Linked DNA regions of Coturnix japonica. The protein of the gene in region 1 interacts with the protein of each later gene in a biochemical or structural test. Links are inferred from orthologs where the notes say so. Each region holds a gene or a part of one and is shown in the gene's direction. Other genes may lie near its edges.

Region 1 (2,220 bases):
ACGTCCTGCCGTAACCTTTGGTCCCCAGCTGGGCGTTGGTGAGCCTTGACCCCACGGTGTTGTGCAACGGGGACGGGGCTGATAGCAGCTGTGGGGCTGTCACACAGGCTGTTCTCATTGCGTGGCTGCTCCAATGTGTCACCCTCGGCAGCGCCCTGTGTCTGTCCTTGGTGCCAGCCCAGGATCATTGCTGGCCAAGGGAGTTTCGTGGTGTGATGTGGGTGTGCTGTGGGTAAGGAGCAGCGCAGGGCACGCACGAGGGGAATTCCTGCCTGTCCCCAGGGATGGTTTGGGTACCAAAGTAGGACAGACGAAGGGAAGGATAAGTGATGAAACCCCGTGGTGAGGGATATTTTAGGAACTCCAGTGTGACTTTTGTCACTGGGAAATCCCTACCGCTGATCGGGGGCTAACGATCAAGACAGTATCACTATGCATGTATTATGTGAGTAGGATGAGAGGTGATGGTTTTACACTGTGCCGGGGACTCAGGTTGGGCATCAGGAACCATTTCTTCACCCAGGGGCTCACAGTGGAGCAGGGGAGCCCTCTGGGGGTGCTCAGCTCCGTGGAGATGTGGCACTGAGGGATGTGGTCACTGGGGAGGGGTTGGATTGATGATCTTAGTGGTCTTTTCCAACCTTAATGATCCCATGAATCTACAACTATGAACAGTTGGACACTGAGTCAGGCTGGGGTGGTGCCACCAGGAGGTGAACGCCCCACGTGCTGCTGCCCTGCTCCTGCAGGTCCTGGTTTGCTGCAGCCATAGGTTGGGCTGCTCAGTGTGGGTGCTGCTCTGTGAGTACCTGGGGTCCCTTTGGTGCCACCCCCAGATGGGGGATGATGTGGTCTTTGTGTCTGCAGGAGGTGGGACCTGTTGGCATAGGGTGAAGGTGGGTGCCTGCCCTCCATCCAGGCTGCTTCCTCCTCTGCCTTCACTGGGCAATCTTAATCCCAAAAGGAAGAGCCCGATCTGAGGATGTGTGTAATAACAGGCTTCCGTAATGGAACACCATAGTTACCATGTTCTGCACCTAACCAGGCAGGGCTGGGGCTCACGGTCTGTTCTGGTCTCCATGCCCAGCTGGAGGTGCCCACAATTGTGAATTTCATGGGTCTGCAGCCCTGTGCCATAGCAGGGTGAGGGCTGAGAGCCGCCATCTCACAGCCATCCCTTCACTGTCCCCTCGCAGGAGCTGCGTCCCCGGCTGTGCCACATCAAGAAGGGCCCCAACGGGTACGGCTTCAACCTGCACAGTGAGAAGAGCCGCCCTGGGCAGTATGTTCGTGCTGTGGACCCCGACTCACCGGCTGAGGCGGCGGGGCTGCGAGCCCAGGACCGCATTGTTGAGGTGGGTGATGGGGTCAATGGGAGGCCAGCAGCATGGTGTGTCCCTGAGATACGGGATGGGCGGGCAGCGCCCAGGAGCTGCTCCTCTGGGGCACCCCCTGCCCTGAGTGCTGGCGGTGACTCAGAGCAGAGCCATCCCACCCCTGGGTGCAGCCGTGCTGCTCATCAACCTGTCACCCCGTGCAGCACCGCTGTCCTGGGATGGGAGGGCACAGACGTGAGGGTGTGTGGTGGCTGTGTGGGTCCAGGGCTGCCCGTGCTCGCCGTGCTGGGGTCAGCCGCCCTGTGCCGTCATCTCCTGGCACTGCCCCGCTCCCCGTGCAGCCCTGTGCTAATCGCTCTGAGAAAATCTGCTTTTAATGAGGTTGTGCTGCTAATCCCTGCACGTCTCCGGGCATCCGCGGGGGGCTGAGGAATGTCCGTTATCTCCGTGACACCCACAGGTGAATGGGACGCCCGTGGAGGGCAAACAGCACGCGGATGTGGTGGCGGCCATCAAGGCGGGCGGCGATGAGACCAAGCTGCTGGTGGTGGGCGTGCTGGCTGATGAGTTCTTCAAGAAGTGCAGGGTGGTGCCCTCGGAGATGCACCTGGCAGGTGGGTCCGGTGCCAGGCATGGGGATCCCATTGTGCTGGGATGGGGGTTGGTCGGCGCCTTCCTGCCCGGCCCACAGCTGGCACGTGGCTGTGGGGTGTGTGCTGGGCAGGGTTTATTGCCCTGTGGTTTACACTTTGACAGGGCTTATGGCTCAGGGAGCGAACGGAGGGTGTGTGGTTGTCCTTCACTTTGCTCCAGCCTCGGCTCAGCCTTGGCCCCCTCCCTGCCCTGATGGTGGCAGGATGCAGCCCACGTTGGCTGCCCCGGA
Region 2 (3,500 bases), on another chromosome or scaffold:
CTTCATCTCATTGTCCCTCTGTCCACACTGACCTCCTTGAGGGACAAGTGGCCATGCAGTGGAAGGGCTGCCAACCACTTTCCTTTGGAGATATAGCCCTGAGGATCAGTGTGATTGTACTTGCATGCCAGCTACCAACAGACCAAGTTTCACACCTCAGATTCCATGACTCTGAGCTCCTCCCAAGCCCTGTGCAGCACAGCTGTGGTGTTACGTCACCCTCCTTTACTGGGATGACCGGCTGCAAACAGATAGCCTTGCTGTGCTAAACAAAGGGCAGTCCAGAGCAAAGCTGCAACTCTCGTTGGACATTCACATTGCCCCACATGCTATAAGCTCCCAAAGCCTCTTAAGAAGTGCTTGTTCAGTGGTAATTAAGCCAATGGAGTGGACCAGGCTGTGGGGGATTCCTAAGATCTGGCTTAGCCTAGGATAGTCAGTAACATAGTCTCTCAATGAAACATCATGCAGGGCAGGGATGAGAGACAGGGTGGGGATTGTATGAATGACATGCAGAGAAAAATTCTGGCTCTTTGCCTCCAGCCAGCCAGTGTGATCTCCAAGAGTTACAGTCAGTGCTATCCCATGGAGCATAGAAGGGGAGCTCCAAATTTACACAATCTTACTTTGCAATAGGGTAACATTACTGTTCTAACTGTTAGTGTCTGGCAAACATAAGGCCCTTTCCAGTGTGTCTGTTTCAGTAAGCAACAAAAATAAGGTAGTCCTTCTAGTGGCTTTGAGCTATATAGGTCTATAAAGGTGAAGGAGATGACTCCTGTCCCTGCAGCAAAAGAAATGGGCTAGTGCTGAAGCTGGGCTTCTTCTCTGTGCCATTTGGGGCTGCTCCCAATGACAGTGCCCTGCCTCCTGCAGTGTGTGCATCGTGACCTGGCTGCCAGGAACGTCCTCATCTGTGAGGGGAAGCTGGTGAAGATCTGTGACTTTGGTCTGGCAAGAGATATCATGAGGGATTCCAACTACATCTCCAAAGGCAGCGTGAGTACCCGGAGCCACATCATCCCCTTCTCTGTAGGGCTCTGGGCCTGGCACCGTGCTCCCCTGCAAGCCCCCTGTCTGTTGCTGTGCCCAGAGGTGGTGACACAGCAGCATTCCCAGCTGATGGTGTCAACCATCACCAGCCAACCATCGTGCACTTGATGTCTGCATGGTGCTGAGCCTGGTCCTCAGCTGCAGGCAGGAGGAATGCAAAGTTAGGCAGCTTGGCAGCGGTGCAGTGAGTCACTGGCCACTCTGGGAAGATGTCCGCAGCCTTCTGCTGTAACCAGCAGACCACAGGGTAAGAGGAAGTGCTTTCCTGCAGGCAGCTACTTTCCAGAAAGGCATCTCCAGTCTTTTGAGGCAAGAGAGGATGGGGCTGTTATTGAGCTTACCTGTGCTTTCAACAGGAGTGTGTCTGCTCCAGCACTGAGGAGCTGGGGATGCACAAGCCTAAGCAGAGCAGGATGTGTAACTGGCTTCATTTGGCAGATAGGAAAACTGAGTCTGAGGGAGCTGAGAGTGGTGCCAGGCCCCTCAAAACTGTCTTTATCTACTCGATGAACTACTCAGCTTCCCCCCTGATTTGTCCCATTTGCATGGCATGGCAGCCAGATGTTGAGCATATTGGCCAGGGGACCTCTCTGCAGAGAGACTGTGATTTTCCAGTCCAGCCTTGATATGGCTTCTTTTCCTTATGAAACAAGAAATGAAACTGGGCCTCTTTGCAGTTCTTCCTGGAGATTATTTTGGTATTTGTTATGCAAGCGGATCTCTGGAACAGCACAGTCAGTGCTGCACACACTGATTGAGTGAGGCTCATTTTAGTGTATCGCCATGTGAGTAGGAACAGGAAAAGCTGAAGCTTCTGCTCTTTCCTGGTTGTCCCGTAGCCCACTCCAGCTTAGCCTTAGGTTTCCAGAGCGCAGATAGTTCTGGACTCCCTCTGGGAGTTCTGTGGTCATGCTGTGCAATCAGTGAACTCATCCCAAGGGCTGGGGAACAGAGATGCACACTGTGACAGCTCATTATAGCAGACAGGCTGTTCTGTATGATAGAAATGGATGTAGCACACCCGTTCTTCCCTCCTGCTTGCTGGGTTTGTCCTGCAGTAAGAAAGAGAAAATGGATCCCTCCAAGAAGTGTTGGTCAGCAGATATTTGGGGCTGTCAGGCAGCTCCAAGAGCTCCTCTCTGCTTGCAGATGCAGCTAACTCTCTTCTCATTGCAATTTTTCCTCACAGACCTTCTTGCCCCTTAAGTGGATGGCCCCAGAGAGCATTTTCAACAACCTCTACACCACCCTAAGTGATGTGTGGTCCTTTGGGATTCTTCTCTGGGAAATATTCACTCTAGGTAAGTGTCCTGGAGATCACGGTTGTGTCCACAGAAATGGTGGCACTTTAGCAGGATCCTTTCCTAAATGCAGAGGGTAGAAATCCATCCTAATCCCCAAGTCCCAACTCTACCAGCATCAGAGTAGCACTTCACTCAGTGTCTCCTTTTTTCCCATGCTGACGTGGCCACTTGGAAGCCAAATGAAACAGGAAAGGTAAATTGAAAAACAAAAAGCAAGCAGAGGAAACCTTGGTGTGAAAAGCATGTTGGTGTGGGGGTGGCAGGCTCTACATCAGCCTGATTCCCTGCTCTCCCTTTACTCCAGGAGGGACTCCCTACCCTGAACTGCCTATGAATGAACAGTTCTACAATGCCATCAAACGTGGCTATCGGATGTCCAAACCTACCCATGCTTCTGATGAAATGTAAGTGCTGCCTGCACGTGTTAACCCTGGGCCTGCTCTGCAGAAAGGACAGGAGCAGTTTTCCCTGATAAGTCACCAACGTGCCCTTTCTTCCATTTTGTTAGCTACGAAATCATGCAGAAGTGCTGGGAGGAGAAGTTTGAGATCAGACCGTCCTTCTCACAGCTGGTGGTGCTGATGGGAAACCTCTTGGTGGATTGCTACAGAAAGGTATGTGCAAAGGGTCAGTGCTCTTTGAAGGGATGCCACCTTGGTTTTACGGCATTGGATGAAGTTTTGGAGGCCCTGATTAATCATCATTAGCTGCTGAGCTGGAGCATTTTGCTGTGATTTGAGCTACATTCATTTAAACGGCCAGAGGAGGTGATTTGGGAATGCTGGGGATGTTGTGAGACAGCTGTCCTCATCAGGCAGCTGGTTTGTCAGCAATGGCAGAGATCAGAACTGGCTGAAGATCAGACGCCTGTTGCTGACTGATGCTTTGGAACCATGGAATTGTGCTGCTGATCACTCATATAGGAAACATTCACGATGTGTCTGTGGTGGAGTCAGGGTAGCTGAATGCAGCTAGATGTCAGCCCCTGGGGAAGGAAGCTTGGCAGTCAGGGAAAGCAAACACATCTGTGTGTTTTCTCCGCTCACAAGACCTTCCTGTTTTTCTGGTAACCTGCGAGAGCAGAGGTACCAGCAGGTGGATGAAGAGTTCATGAAGAGCGACCACCCTGCTGTTGTTCGCACA
Region 3 (4,044 bases), on another chromosome or scaffold:
TGCTACAAGAGACAGCAAAGCAGTGCTGTGCTTCTCTGATGCCCTGAGACTGGGGGGGATTAATATTCCCTCTCCTGAATAAAAGTGAGTTCTAGTTCTGCTCTGGAGGGTGGTGTGTGAGAGCCAACCCTGGGACTTTAAAGAGCTAAACCTTATTCGAAACAGTGAGAAATTGGAACTATTTATCACTGAGGAGTTTGGCGAATCCAAATGTAACAACACCGAGTTCTTCAGTGAATTGGCAAGAGAATGCAAAGCAAATACAACAGAGCCGTTAATACTTTTCAGTAGGAGTGATGTGATTGTTTACACAGCTCACACTCCTCAAATCTGGCTCAGTGCAGGCAATGAGTCAGCGTGACTTCGGGAGCGCAGCATGGGAAGAAAGCAGACAACCAGCTTCACCCTGACCCACAGGCTGCTGAGGGCTTAGACAGTACTGCCACTATCGGTGCCACCTTTTAAGCTCCTTGTGTTGGGCTGCAGATGCAAGGTGCTGTCTGAACAAACGTCAGGTGTTTCACTTCCATTGCCCCAGTATTTCAGCGCTTGACTGTCACACTTGTGTTAATGTGGGGACTAGGTTTTCCTCGGGTACTCAGCTGTTTGAACCTCACACAGTTTTATGAAGAAAGCAACATCTCCAACTGAAAACCTGCTGCATAATTTCATTGAAGGGCAAATGTTATACTTGAAAGAGGAGTGATGGACAATGCAGTGACTTTGATTTCCTTATAAATAGCAGTATAAACTTCAAAAATACGACATGTAAGCTGTGAGGGTGCACTGCACATTTATCATGTATTTTGGAGCAGTGCATCTTTCAGATGTTTCCCAGTTCTCATGTTTTACAAATGCTGCTCTGGAAGTGCCAGGCAGCACAGTCGCCAGTGAGCTGGGGGTTGGCCTCATCTCTCGTGTCATTAGTGATAGGACCAGAGGGAATGGTTTCAAGCTGTGGCAGGGGAGATTCAGGCTGGACATTAGGAAGTATTACTTCTCAGAAAGGGTGGTCAGGCACTGGAATGCACTGCCCAGGGAGGTGGTGGAGTCACCGACCATGGGGGTGTTCAGGAAAGACTGGATGTTGTGTTGAGGGACGTGGTTTAGTGGGAGCTATTAGTAATAGGTGAACAGGTGGACTGGATGATCTTTTAGGTCTTTTCCAACCTTGGTAATTCTGTGATTCTATGATTCTAAGTTCTGAGCACATGGCTGTCTCTCCTAACTCAGTGTTTGGGTGGAAATGCCAGAAGTCACTGTATGTGACATACAAACAGAGCATTAACTCTCAGCTTCCCACTGTAAATCCTGGCCCGTGGTGTGGTTCAGCTTTTCACACCATCCAGGCAGCAGCCGTTGTAGGACAGACACTCGTTTTTATCCATCTGTATTTTCTGTTCAGGAGCAAAAACAAGACAAAAGAAGGTATTGCTCATCATACCCGCAGTCAGCAGTAACTGTGCCTCATCCATTTCTCCTTTTTCTCTCTGGCAGGTTGGGCTGAAGTCTGTGATTGAACAGTTCCCGGGCCAGCTGGATTTTGTTCTTGTGGATGGAGGCTGTGTCCTCAGCCATGGGCACAAGCAGTTGATGTGCCTTGCCCGTTCTGTTCTCAGTAAGGCTAAAATCCTGCTGCTGGACGAGCCCAGTGCTCACCTGGACCCCATGTACGTTTTGTTCACGTGTTCTAATATGAAATCCCAAAATCGGTGAGGCAGCACCCCCTAAAGAAACCTTCAGTAACTCCTCAGGTCTTGTACTAAGCCTGATTTCAGCTTTGGGAACAGATTTCAGCTTTTCCCTTGGGGAAAAGGGATGCACTCAACGTGTCACCTTGGAGTTGTACACTTTCTGAGCTGGCTTCCAGCAGTGAGCAACTCACTTCTGCTGTGTCAGCTGCAGCTCAGCCATGCTGGCTGTCCTGCTTTGGCTGGGCTACGTGAAGGAGGGAGAGGGACACGCAGTGACGGCTGCTGGGCTGTCCTCAGGGCACTGATCATGCTTGGTCCACACAAGGTCCATGGCCTTGTGTGTGAGGGCCAGAAATCAGGCAGTATCAAATGCAGGGCTCAGAAAGTTCAGATGTTCTTCAGTCTCTGCTCAGTGCCTGCTGTAACTCACTGTTCCTTGTTGTTGTGTTACCATCACAGTGCAAGGTAACAGAAATGCTCCAGCATGGTGGGTGCTGTAACCGTTAACAAATGGGAGTAACTCCAAACCCCAAATCTTACATCAGACTGGGATTTATCACCATGAGTTCAGCACTCCAAGCTGACTTATCTCCAGCCCGGACAGCAAGAGCGTAATTTAGGTCCAGAGAATGCCTGTGCTGTGTGGCATGGTTAGAGATGGTGGTATTTCTGCATGGAGTGTCAGAGAAGTTCAGTTACACCTTCACATTGGAGCAATGAGTGCTTTCCCAGTGGAGCTGCAACATGCTGAGCACCACAGCATGCAGCTGAATGACTGGAAACCACAAATGCAGTTATGGGCTGTGAGTGCTGTGTGTTGCAGTCTGAGTGCCAATGATTATTTGCCTTGCAGAACTTCCCAGGTGATCAGGAAAACGCTGAAGCACGCATTTGCAGACTGCACTGTGATCCTTTCCGAGCACAGGCTGGAGGCCATCCTGGAGTGCCAGCGGTTCCTGGTGAGCATCTTCCCCCATCTCCTGCCCTGCTGTTTTGTTACATTTGACAAGTCTTAGGTTGCCTTGGGTTGAAAGGGACCTTGAAGACCACCAGTCCCAGCCCCCTGCCGTGCTTTACCAGGGCCAGGGCAGGAATGGCCGCACTTCTTGAGCAACAGGGGGAAAAGGTTTTCTGAGGAAATATCTGGCGGTCAGAATCGTTGATGTCATTTATAAGGACATCTGTATATTGCATTATGGTGTGAGCTGGGCTGTGAGGGGTCAGCCGGGCGGGTGTCCCGGCACCTCCTGTGGCCACCGCCCATCGGAGGGGTGCGATGTTCCCGCAGGTGATCGAGGACAACAAGATGCGGCAGTACGAGTCCATTCAGAAGCTGCTGAGCGAGAAGAGCTCGCTGCGTCAGGCCATCAGCCACGCCGACCGCCTCAAGCTGCTGCCCGCGCACCGCCGCAACTCCAGCAAGCGCAAGCCCAGGCCGCAGATCTGCGCGTTGCAGGAGGAGACGGAGGAGGAGGTGCAGGAGACGAGGCTGTGAGCAGCACCGGCACCTCCCGGCCCTAATTCACCTCCCCCCGCCATGTGGCGGTGCGGCTCGGCTCGGTACCGCCCGGAGCGGCGCTGCCCCGCTCTGCGATCCGGGCTCCGCGTTCTCCTCAGCTCGGCGGTTCACAGACTTTCAAAGCGATTTTTATACTCTTCTTGGATTGCAGTTTTATGATGAACTTTCTCCAGGATATGTTATTTATTTTAATATTGTCGCCAACGTTTGTTAAGGAAATGATGTATTTTAAAAGAAGTGATTCTGTACTATAAAGAAAAAATATATTTGTACAAAAACTTGTGTATTGGGACGGTGTTTGGCCTTGGGTGCCGCATTGCCCGCACACAAACAAGGCGCAGCTTCGGGCCGGAGCAAACAGCCCACAGCAACCTGCCGTCCCACACAGCCTGGGGCCGCTCCTACACCGACCCTATAACCGACCCTATAACCGACCCTATAACCGACCCTATAACCGACCCTATAACCGACCCTATAGCGGGTCTGCGTCCTCCCTGCGCTGCCTCCCGCCAGCAGGGGGCGCTGCGGGGCCGGCTCCGCTCCTCCCGCCCAGCCGTATCCATGTGCAGGTCCCTGTCCCTGCCTGTCAGTCTGCTTTACTTCACACACACTGGATAAAACAAACCCCTCCAATGGTTCTTTGTTACCCAAAGCACACTGCATGCAGTAAGACCAAGGAGCGGGCTGAGTCCGGCACTAATAGGAAGATTTAATTTTGCAGCCTGAGGGGAAAAAGCCAAAATGATTAAAGAGAAATTGCCCTGCAAGGATCTGCATCTCCCCTGAAGTACAGAGGAAGAGGGCAGCCAGAAATGGCTCACTCAGCACCAA

Evidence for each region.
Region 2: the proteins of SLC9A3R1 (region 1) and PDGFRB form a complex in vitro, tested with the Homo sapiens proteins (2 studies listed by BioGRID and IntAct, with this or other methods). The link is inferred for Coturnix japonica from reciprocal best matches to the Homo sapiens genes NHERF1 and PDGFRB.
Region 3: the proteins of SLC9A3R1 (region 1) and CFTR form a complex in vitro, tested with the Homo sapiens proteins (9 studies listed by BioGRID and IntAct, with this or other methods). The link is inferred for Coturnix japonica from reciprocal best matches to the Homo sapiens genes NHERF1 and CFTR.

Annotation. Positions count from the first base shown.
Region 1 is NC_029533.1:9,149,675-9,151,894, forward strand, and holds part of SLC9A3R1 (Na(+)/H(+) exchange regulatory cofactor NHE-RF1), read left to right. Parts: intron 1-1,196; coding exon 1,197-1,355; intron 1,356-1,797; coding exon 1,798-1,951; intron 1,952-2,220. UniProt on the Homo sapiens protein: Scaffold protein that connects plasma membrane proteins with members of the ezrin/moesin/radixin family and thereby helps to link them to the actin cytoskeleton and to regulate their surface expression. Necessary for recycling of internalized ADRB2.
Region 2 is NC_029528.1:4,805,063-4,808,562, reverse strand, and holds part of PDGFRB (platelet-derived growth factor receptor beta), read left to right. Parts: intron 1-876; coding exon 877-999; intron 1,000-2,242; coding exon 2,243-2,354; intron 2,355-2,661; coding exon 2,662-2,761; intron 2,762-2,865; coding exon 2,866-2,971; intron 2,972-3,440; coding exon 3,441-3,500. UniProt on the Homo sapiens protein: Tyrosine-protein kinase that acts as a cell-surface receptor for homodimeric PDGFB and PDGFD and for heterodimers formed by PDGFA and PDGFB, and plays an essential role in the regulation of embryonic development, cell proliferation, survival, differentiation, chemotaxis and migration.
Region 3 is NC_029516.1:22,050,258-22,054,301, reverse strand, and holds the end of CFTR (cystic fibrosis transmembrane conductance regulator), read left to right. Parts: intron 1-1,497; coding exon 1,498-1,670; intron 1,671-2,547; coding exon 2,548-2,653; intron 2,654-2,982; coding exon 2,983-3,189; 3' UTR 3,190-3,544; downstream 3,545-4,044. UniProt on the Homo sapiens protein: Epithelial ion channel that plays an important role in the regulation of epithelial ion and water transport and fluid homeostasis. Mediates the transport of chloride ions across the cell membrane.